Schizosaccharomyces pombe: one gene and its partner. The protein of the gene in region 2 interacts with the protein of the main gene of each other region in a pairwise test. Each region holds a gene or a part of one and is shown on either strand. Other genes may lie near its edges.

Region 1 (5,050 bases), on a different chromosome or scaffold from region 2:
TTGGACCATTTCTCAATTGATCCTAGGTTACCTGGCACATCTTTGCTTCAAATCAAAATGCCGCATTCTCCTCGAAATAGTGCTATGGGCAATTTTATGGTTTCTGTCGATTTTCAAGATAGAAATCAAAGATCTCTGAAGCAGGTTAAACGAACAGTCTTGCTTCCTCATAGGTCTCCTATTCACGAATACCTTAAGCTAATTGTATGTTCACCTCTTTACTTCATGGGGATTTTGGAAGAAACAGATATTGTCAATGTCCGTTTGTTCGAATCTGAAACATTTGCTAAAAGTTTTAATTCAATTACAACACTTTCCGTTAGATTTTCTGTCAAAAATACTCCAGCTCAAGCTATTGTCAAAATTTATTCTAAAGATATTGAATTTTACGAAGCGACTCTAGCTTTTGCATCAAAATTGCACGGCATGCGGTAAGTTTTACTTTTTGATTTACCTTCTTCATTTTTTTTACTTTACTCAATTTCTTTACCTGTTATACTTTTTCACAAACTAACTTGTCCTTACTAGCTGGTTCATGTATACGCATAAGGTTTCCGCATTTCTCGTTTTCACATCTTTATTTTGGTTTACGGGGATAACCTCAACGATAATTACCTATCTTATTGTCTCTTCCACATCTGAAACAAAAGCAACAAGACGTTGAATCTTCTCACATCTTCACTTGCATCTAAAATCATAATCGTCACAACCATAAAAATACATTATTATTAAATTAGAAAGTTCCATTATTGCTTTATCCGTTAGACCCATTATTCAGCTGCACCTTTATGTACAAAAAGTTGAAAAAGGGTAAAGCAATTTAAATCAGCACTGATTTTTTTTTTAGAAAAAAAAAATCTTTCGCTAGCATCTTCATTTTCGTCATTATTTATTAGTCGCCTAATTATCAAGAAGGCTGTACCAGTTCATACCGTCCATAAAGGAGTATAATTATATGTTCGCAAAATGTAAATACAACACGCAAAAAAGCTTGCAATAGCTCGGCGCACAATATGTAATCAAGTCCGTAAAAACAGGCAAAAAGAAAAAGGACGTAAAAAAGTCGCAAAATGTTGGATTTCATAACCGATAAAAGAAGCAAAGGTTGTCCTTTCGTTGCTAGAAAATGGGGGTTGTCTGCATTAACAGTATCTTGAGACGCCATAAAATCTTTAGAGGAGTTATTCATTGTTGTATTAGTTGCCATGAGTCCTGTTTCATCGTCACTAAAGCTCGAAAGAACTGTGCATTCGTGGCTTGATTCTTCATATGTTGGCATAGAGGAATCGTACCGACGACAAAAGTCGTTTAGGGTTGGAGACATTTTGGAAAGGCTTTGAATAATCCATTTTTGGATACCAATTTCCTCTGAAAGCATCAAAAATCCAGCAACCAATTCTTTGTTTCGCGAACTTTCAGCAGTAAGAGAGCTTTGCAATGATTGACTTATGTGTTTGCATTCTTCTATCGTTTTCTTTTGTTGTTTACATTTAAATTCCAATTCTCTTAATTCTTCACTTTCCCGCATTCCAACCGCAGGAATAGAAATGCAAACTGATGGTTGAGTGAAAGAAAGGCCAACCTCTTTGGAGTAAACCATTTCGTCAAGGTTAGAGGGTGATAAAAATTCATCTCCTTTTGGGTTATTAGACAAAGCAATTAAATGTTTTTCTCTAGTAAGATCATCTATGTGGTTGTTTAGCTGATTATTAGAATTTTTTAATTCATGGTTCTCTAAAGCAAGCCGACGAATAGTATTCTCATTTTCACTTGACCGAGATGCAGCCAAGCTTAATTCCTCAATTTTCTTAGTCTGATCTGTAAACTTACGCAAGAGAGTGGCATACCGAACTTGCAAGGCTGAAAGCTCTTTTTTTGTGGAGTAGAGGCCAGAGTTTGTCTGTATGAGTTCTGACTGAATTTTCTGAAAGTTTTTGTGAATGTTTAGATTTTGAGCCTTAAGAGTCTTAATTTGGTTATTTTGCGAATTATTGGCTACCTTAGATTCATTATATTTGGAATCTGCCATATTTAGTTGGTGGGTAAGTTCATTCACTTTTCCTTCTAAAATATCTACAGTACGAGATTTCTTTCTAGCTTGATCTCGAGCTTTATCTAACATATCCTGGAGTTCTGTGATTTGCTTGATTAGATCATGGTGCCCGTTGGAAAAATCAGGTTTATCCTTCCTAACAAGTGGCATCTCAGTATTTCTGGACGACGTATTTCTTCTTGTTAGAATTTTAATGACTTTTCTAAAAAAAAAATTCTTACCTATTTAGTGGTGTAGATTGGGCAAATGGAGTTCGAAGAATATTGACAAAATCACTGTCGGTAAATTGAGACATCGGCGGCAAGGACAGTCTCTTAGACATCATTTGAGAAGGGTTTAAGGATTCAGGAGAGGCATTAGAAGATGATTTTGAATGTGCAGAATTGACAGAGTGTTCATTTGCATCCTCTTTGATAGAATTTTTGGAATTCTGTTGCTCCATCGAAGGCTTTTCAGCTTGATTCGCAAAAGAGTCATCTTCGTTTTCAGTAAGTTTTTTATATACGTCTCGAAAATTATCCTTTGTAATAGAGAGATCTGCATTTTGCCGTACGAATTCGAGTGTACATTGTTTTTGGAATTCGCTCAAAAGAGGTGGTGCAGAAGCGGGATGTAAGAGTTGTAGGTCATTGATGATTGGCAAAAAGTTGGAAAGATGAACCTAAGAAAATTTTTTGTTAATAGTTTATCCTATTGGTAATTGGGTAAAGCGAGAAAAACCAGAGTCTTGAGAGTTTGTCTCTGACTCAATAAACAAGATCTACCTGCATAAGCAATCAATTTTTTTCATACTTTTCCTTCATGTTTAAAGTCATATGAATCGAAAATCAAGTCAAAATCGCGTTCATTTAGCATTTTGGAAAGGGAACTGGCAATTATAATTATACAGGAAACGAACCACAATTCTAGTGGGAATGGGATTCAGTTTTGAATTTTTTTGTTAGAATTTATCATAAAGCTGCGTGCATTTCATAACAGTTCACGAATTCACCGCATTTCTTAAGTGTTGTGAGTTGGGTTTCGTGCAAGGTCTATCCAAGGGTTTGGCAGTAGGGCTGTTGAGCAAGTGGTTTGAGAGACCAAAAAGAAGTACACAGAAAAAGACGGATTAAAATAAAACTTGAAAATAGATAAAAAGATGTTAGAAGAAATCATGTTTATGCTTGATTTAAGAGCAGCTAGAAAAGTAAGGCCACAACTTGGTCGTACTGTGCATACTTAAGTGATAATTCAAATGAAATCGCAAATTAAAAAAAAAAAAAAAAAAAATTATTTTTAGTGAAGTAGAAACTATTCGTATTTGTTTTATAGATCGATCGATTCCTCTGAGAACTTCAAGCGAATTTGCAGTAATTTAGAACGCCAGCATTTATAATTGCGGGTCAAACAACGATCGCCCAAGAATCTTTCATAGACTCCAAATAAGATTGGTTGATTACTTAACTTATATTTTGATCCTTGAATCGTTTTAGTCAATCAACGTCGTATATATTGTACTTTTTAAAAAATACAAGGTTTTGATCGTAAAAAAAGAAATGCATAGAAAAGGTCAGATTTTTTCATCCAAGAATGTGCAATAAATACAGAAATTACTTCTTTTTCTTTCAATTTAGCCAACTCTTTCGAAAACGTCTTCTATTTACATTTTCTATATAGCTACTACTCAGTCAAAACAGTTGGTTAGCATGTTACTTTATGAGAAGCGAGCGATGTGACGTCAAAGGTTTTTTGGCGAAATTAACACTGTCCATATGTATATGTGTTTGAGCGTGTAAAACCTGGTTTCTGCCATTTACATATTTTGAAACCTCTGTACGCTAGTTTAGTTATTTCTCGTATCATTTTATTTTTAACTGGTGCAAGAGACAAGAAAATTCATTTACTTTCGTGAAGATTTGAAAAATTCGTTTGTCAGCTTAGAATTCTTTGCTAGCAGCATTATTTGTACATTTTCAATTGGACCTCTCTTAGCTTTCAAATTTTATTAAATCTTCTTTGTTTTCTTTCTCTTTTGTACGAAGTGATCATCGAAAAGATAGAGAACATCGGGGTTTCCATTTATGGGCGATAATGTATTTTTAGAGCCTGATCCATGGGCATCTAGCAGTAATTGGGGTTCACCAGTGAAGCCTTTAAATTATAAAACAGCAATTGGTTAGTAAAAGTTTTGTTCTTCTGTTTTTTCCTTCTCAATTAATAGTTAATTTTACGGATCGATGCATTCTATCATTGATTTGTTTCTTTAGCTTGATTTTTTTTTTTTTCATCTTTCTTGCTTTTTTACTTACTTACTGTAATGATGCTAACCTTTTTCTTTTTCTTTTTTTTGTCTATAGGTAATTCATCCATTCCTTTGCAATATCGAAATTATTGGGACGTGTTTCAAGCAAACAATGTTCTCTTATTTCCAGAAGAAGAAAGTTATTCTGATATATTTCATGTTCCTCAAGATGTAATGAAAGAGTTCTTTACCTTGATTGAATCATCAAGCAATCAACCCTTACGGCAAATTCAGTTTTTCGTTTTGCTTGCCTTGGTTGCCTGTTATCAATTAGGTGTTCCTAGCACATTGGAACAGATTTTCAAGCAAAGAAATGGTAAGGCTTTTTTTTATCTTTGCTTTTTTTTGTCTTTTTGCTTACTTCCTCCTCCTTAGTCCTGCCCATTTTGCAGCGTTTTAATCCGGAACTTTTCAATCGTAGTTCTGATAATGAAACCCCTCTTTTTCCTAATAATTCTCCTCCTGCTTCAACAACCGCCTTGAATCTTTCATCCAACATTGTCCCTTCCATTAATGAATCAAAAATTTTAGAACAAGAGGATGACGACGTCTCCAATAAATCCCTCCCTCACGCTCAGCAAAGCATCATCCGTTCGTTTCCTGATATTCAAAAGCAGCCGAAAGGATTCTTTTCCTATCCTTCTTCAACTGTCAGCAGCATTGCACCTTCGACTTTAGAAGCAGGTAACTTACATTCGCAACAACCTCCAAAATTT
Region 2 (3,712 bases):
TCTATATACATAGATACCCGTTGATAACAACTATTTAGAAATATTATAAATAGCGTTACAACTGAACCTCGTTCCTCAGTTCAGTTATGAGCTATATTAGTGATAGGTAACATTATAACCCAGTTAATACAATACCTATACTCAGTTGCTACTTATACAACCTGTGTATTGTAATATAATAGACCACAAGGAAAACTCACCGCAGTTCTACGTATCCTTAAATCAGATACCAAACTGCGTAGCTTACATAACCTAGGCTTGATCTTATCGTTATATTAAATGCTTTTTATTACCTCAAAAATCTACTTCAACAGTTTGATTTCAAGCTAAAATGGTAAATTTTAATGCATAAAATATACCCATTGAGTAATCTATTTGCTCTTTTTTTTATACCGCTCGTCCGCTGATGAAAACGTCAACATAGCAATGCTTGTATCAAGTGAAGATGGATGGTGTGAAATCACTTGTTATAACAGAGGAGTAATTGAGTATTGCTTTTTTGATCACCACTGTTTGATACACCCTTGCCTGCTAAACAATTCAATGTGAGTTTGTAAATTGCAGTTTTATTTATGATCATCGACCAAGCCCTAACATACATTTGTTACTCGATTTAATTTAATTAATTTAATATTTCAACAAGGAACTATGAATTTGGAGACTTTGTCGCCCAGGTATTTTATTATATGTAAACACAAATTAAGCAGGTCGCACGTATAAGTCTACCGTATGTTATAAACAAAGATAATAAATTTTAATAAGATGACAAATAATTTCAGGGACTTTCAACATACGAATATCAATTGTCTACTTTTCATGTTGACAAAACTTTGACCTCTTATAAAGCAAGGTCCCAATAAATTAGGTCTCCACCACCATCAACAACTTGCATTCGTGATTTAAAATGGAAAGGAAATCCCAAGTTTCAGATACAAATAATAACTCTATACCTACGTAAGTTTATTAATTATTAGTTTATTTCTTTACGCCGGACTGCGAATTGGTTTTAAGAAATTCCATACAACCTTCCACAACAGTCTATAATCTTAGGTCTCTTATATTGTTTATTCCTTTTATATTCTTAACTAAATATGTTGGAAATGAAAACTTACTAACTTTCGTAATAGTAATGTTCTGCTTAAGTTTGTGGGTTTTAGTGTCGCATTATTTACATTACCACTTATAACTTATTTTTGGACGTTGAAGACTTTATTCAAAGGTATATACTAATTGTTGAATAATTTTGATTTTTACTGATAAATTTTGTTTTAGGATATCAAACATTGTACGCAGGATTATCTGCAGCTGTAATGGTCAATATTATCTTGGCCTTGTATATAGTCGCAGCCTTTCGCGAAGACTCCGGGACTCCCAAGAAGGATATAAAAAGGGAATAATAAATTTTCAGTAACCATTTTACTACTATTTTGAGTTATGACTTTTGCATTTCAATTCTAAATCAAATTTTGAAGCGGATTTTCCTTCTGCCAACGTATTTAGGTGAATCATTCGATGTCTTTATTTTTTTTCGTTAAAAGTATCGCAAAATGAAAGACTTTAGCTGGGACTATCCTATAATCTACTGGATTTTGCATGTATGTCTATTGAATAAGGTGCTACCACAAAGCTGTTGCTGGTGATACTACTCCTTTTTGTATCTGAATTAATGAACGGAAATTTTTTTGTTTAATTTTTCGCTAGTCTGTAATGAAAATATGTGTCTGTTCTTTAGTTTTTTGTAGTTTCCCAAAAAACACGAATTAGCAAAATGCAATTGATATGGCAATTTCAACCAATTTTATAATTAAATTTTCCTTTTTATAATATAAGGCTAACATGTATGATTCTTATCAAACATAACAGCTGTAGGAATTCAGTATTCTTCTAACACTTATGCATCACTATTTTCTCTCACCCCAAACCCCTCGTATATTGGAAAGTTGTTCAAGTGAGCATTATTGATTTTTTCCCAATATAATATTGATAAAAATATATATCTGTAAAAAAGTTTGGTGTTAATTATTTATTTTATTCTGTTTTCTGCTGATTCAAAGACTTCGAACATGTCGACTGCCAGTGAACAAGCTCGACTTAGACGTGAACGTCGACTGAATAAAATCAAACAAGGAGGTGCATCTAGAATCAATCAAATTTTGGGACAGAATTCAGATGACAGTCAATCCGATGTTCGAGCTACAGCTTCCGAGGAAGCTGTACATTCTGAAACTGCAACACCAGTAACGCCAATGTCTTCAGGATTCATGGAAAAGAGAGATGATACCTTCAATGCTGATCAAGTGGAATATCTTCCTTCCCAAGATTACCATAATTTGGAAAGTTCGCCTTTTAAACTTCAGTGTGATTCTCCATATAATGTACCACCTGAAAACATGTTTAATCAAAACCCTGATTTTGCAAATTTTTTTCAAGCTATGTTACAATCCGCAAAGGAGGGATCTGATACAAATTTTCAAGGTGAAAACGAACAAATTCCTCAAGCTACAGCTCCTTTAAAAAACTTAGTTGAGAAATATGCTCATCTTTTGGCAATTTCTATAGTAGTGATTGTTTGTTATTTTAAACATTTGGTAAGTCCTCATCTTCCTTTTTTGAAATTGTTTTTTTGCATACTAATATATTTATTTCAGCCATTACTTCCGTGGACATTTACTGTCGAAGCTTGCTTGTTCTCTATTCAATTTGTTTTGGACCGTAATAATGGACCTTCTTATTCTCTTCTAGCATCTCTGGCCTCTCAGCTTCCCCCTCCCTATGGAGCAATGATCCGTCATACAACAAGTTATGTTCCGTATTTCACACAATTGATTACAGATGCGTGTATGACAATATTTGCGTTAGGTTTATGTTGCTATTTTTATCCGTCGTTGGTGTATTAATAGTTGTTAATTTTCAGCATTTACTATTTATGAATCTTGGTTTTGCTTCGCAAATTGGTGATCGATTAATTAGCATTCAATTTTTGTTTAGATGAAATAAACTAACTGATTAAGCGAGAAAGACTTTTCAAACCCTTAGGAATTCAATTTTATATTATCTTTTCAACATCTAAACGATTTATATTCTAAAACATACTGCACTTCATTTGAACTGCTTTGCAACACATGCCATATTTACGATTGTCGGTACGTTTTATTTATTTTCTCTTTTAATTCAATGGTAGCAATAGTATATGATTTAAAAAGCTCTGTTTATTGTAATTGTAGTATTAATTAAAAACAGACTACTTAAAGTAATTTCTGGGATAGCTGTGAAAACATTATAACTATGATTTTTAAAATCTTTTATCAACTTATTATTGAAATAAAATAAGTAATTGAGAATTGGCTTGGTTGACTGTATATATGTAAAACAACTTCGTCCGAAGCGCTACAACAGCATGCAAACGTTGAAACGGCGAATTCTTGTTATAGAGAAATTTTTCATATAAAACCATACGTACATATTTTGCTATTTAAGTTCCAGATTGCTTAAAAGAAAATTGAAGTGGTAGCACCATTTTTATAAATATATGCAATGGAAATGAAAAGGCGCGTTCGCGCGGTGCGTCGAGACCAAATTCAAAAAAGATGGCGTCCATTAGAGGATAAGCAGCGCCAAGAAATAATAATTATTTTTAGGACGTGTTCAAGGTAAGTAATTGAGAATCATGTTATTGCTAAAAGTGCTTGTGCTTTTTAGCGCTTACTTGTGT

Evidence for each region.
Region 1: the proteins of get2 (region 2) and kms1 interact in binary tests that used the Schizosaccharomyces pombe proteins (3 or more experiments, as listed by UniProt).

Annotation. Positions count from the first base shown.
Region 1 is NC_003424.3:3,460,923-3,465,972, reverse strand, and holds kms1 (protein Kms1), read right to left. Parts: upstream 3,076-5,050; 5' UTR 2,909-3,075; coding exon 2,846-2,908; exon of another isoform or gene 2,715-2,845; coding exon 2,275-2,714; exon of another isoform or gene 2,229-2,274; coding exon 908-2,228; 3' UTR 665-907; downstream 1-664. Other genes in the region: sei1 (seipin), read left to right, coding at 1-431, 529-664. UniProt on the Schizosaccharomyces pombe protein: Has a role in karyogamy, recombination and segregation during meiosis. Although it has been shown to associate with the spindle pole body it is unlikely to be involved in its formation or maintenance.
Region 2 is NC_003421.2:187,196-190,907, forward strand, and holds get2 (GET complex subunit Get2), read left to right. Parts: upstream 1-1,918; 5' UTR 1,919-2,063; coding exon 2,064-2,588; intron 2,589-2,648; coding exon 2,649-2,897; 3' UTR 2,898-3,206; downstream 3,207-3,712. Other genes in the region: vacuolar H+-ATPase assembly protein Vma21, read left to right, coding at 905-954, 1,128-1,219, 1,273-1,397; kinetochore protein fta7, read left to right, coding at 3,535-3,650.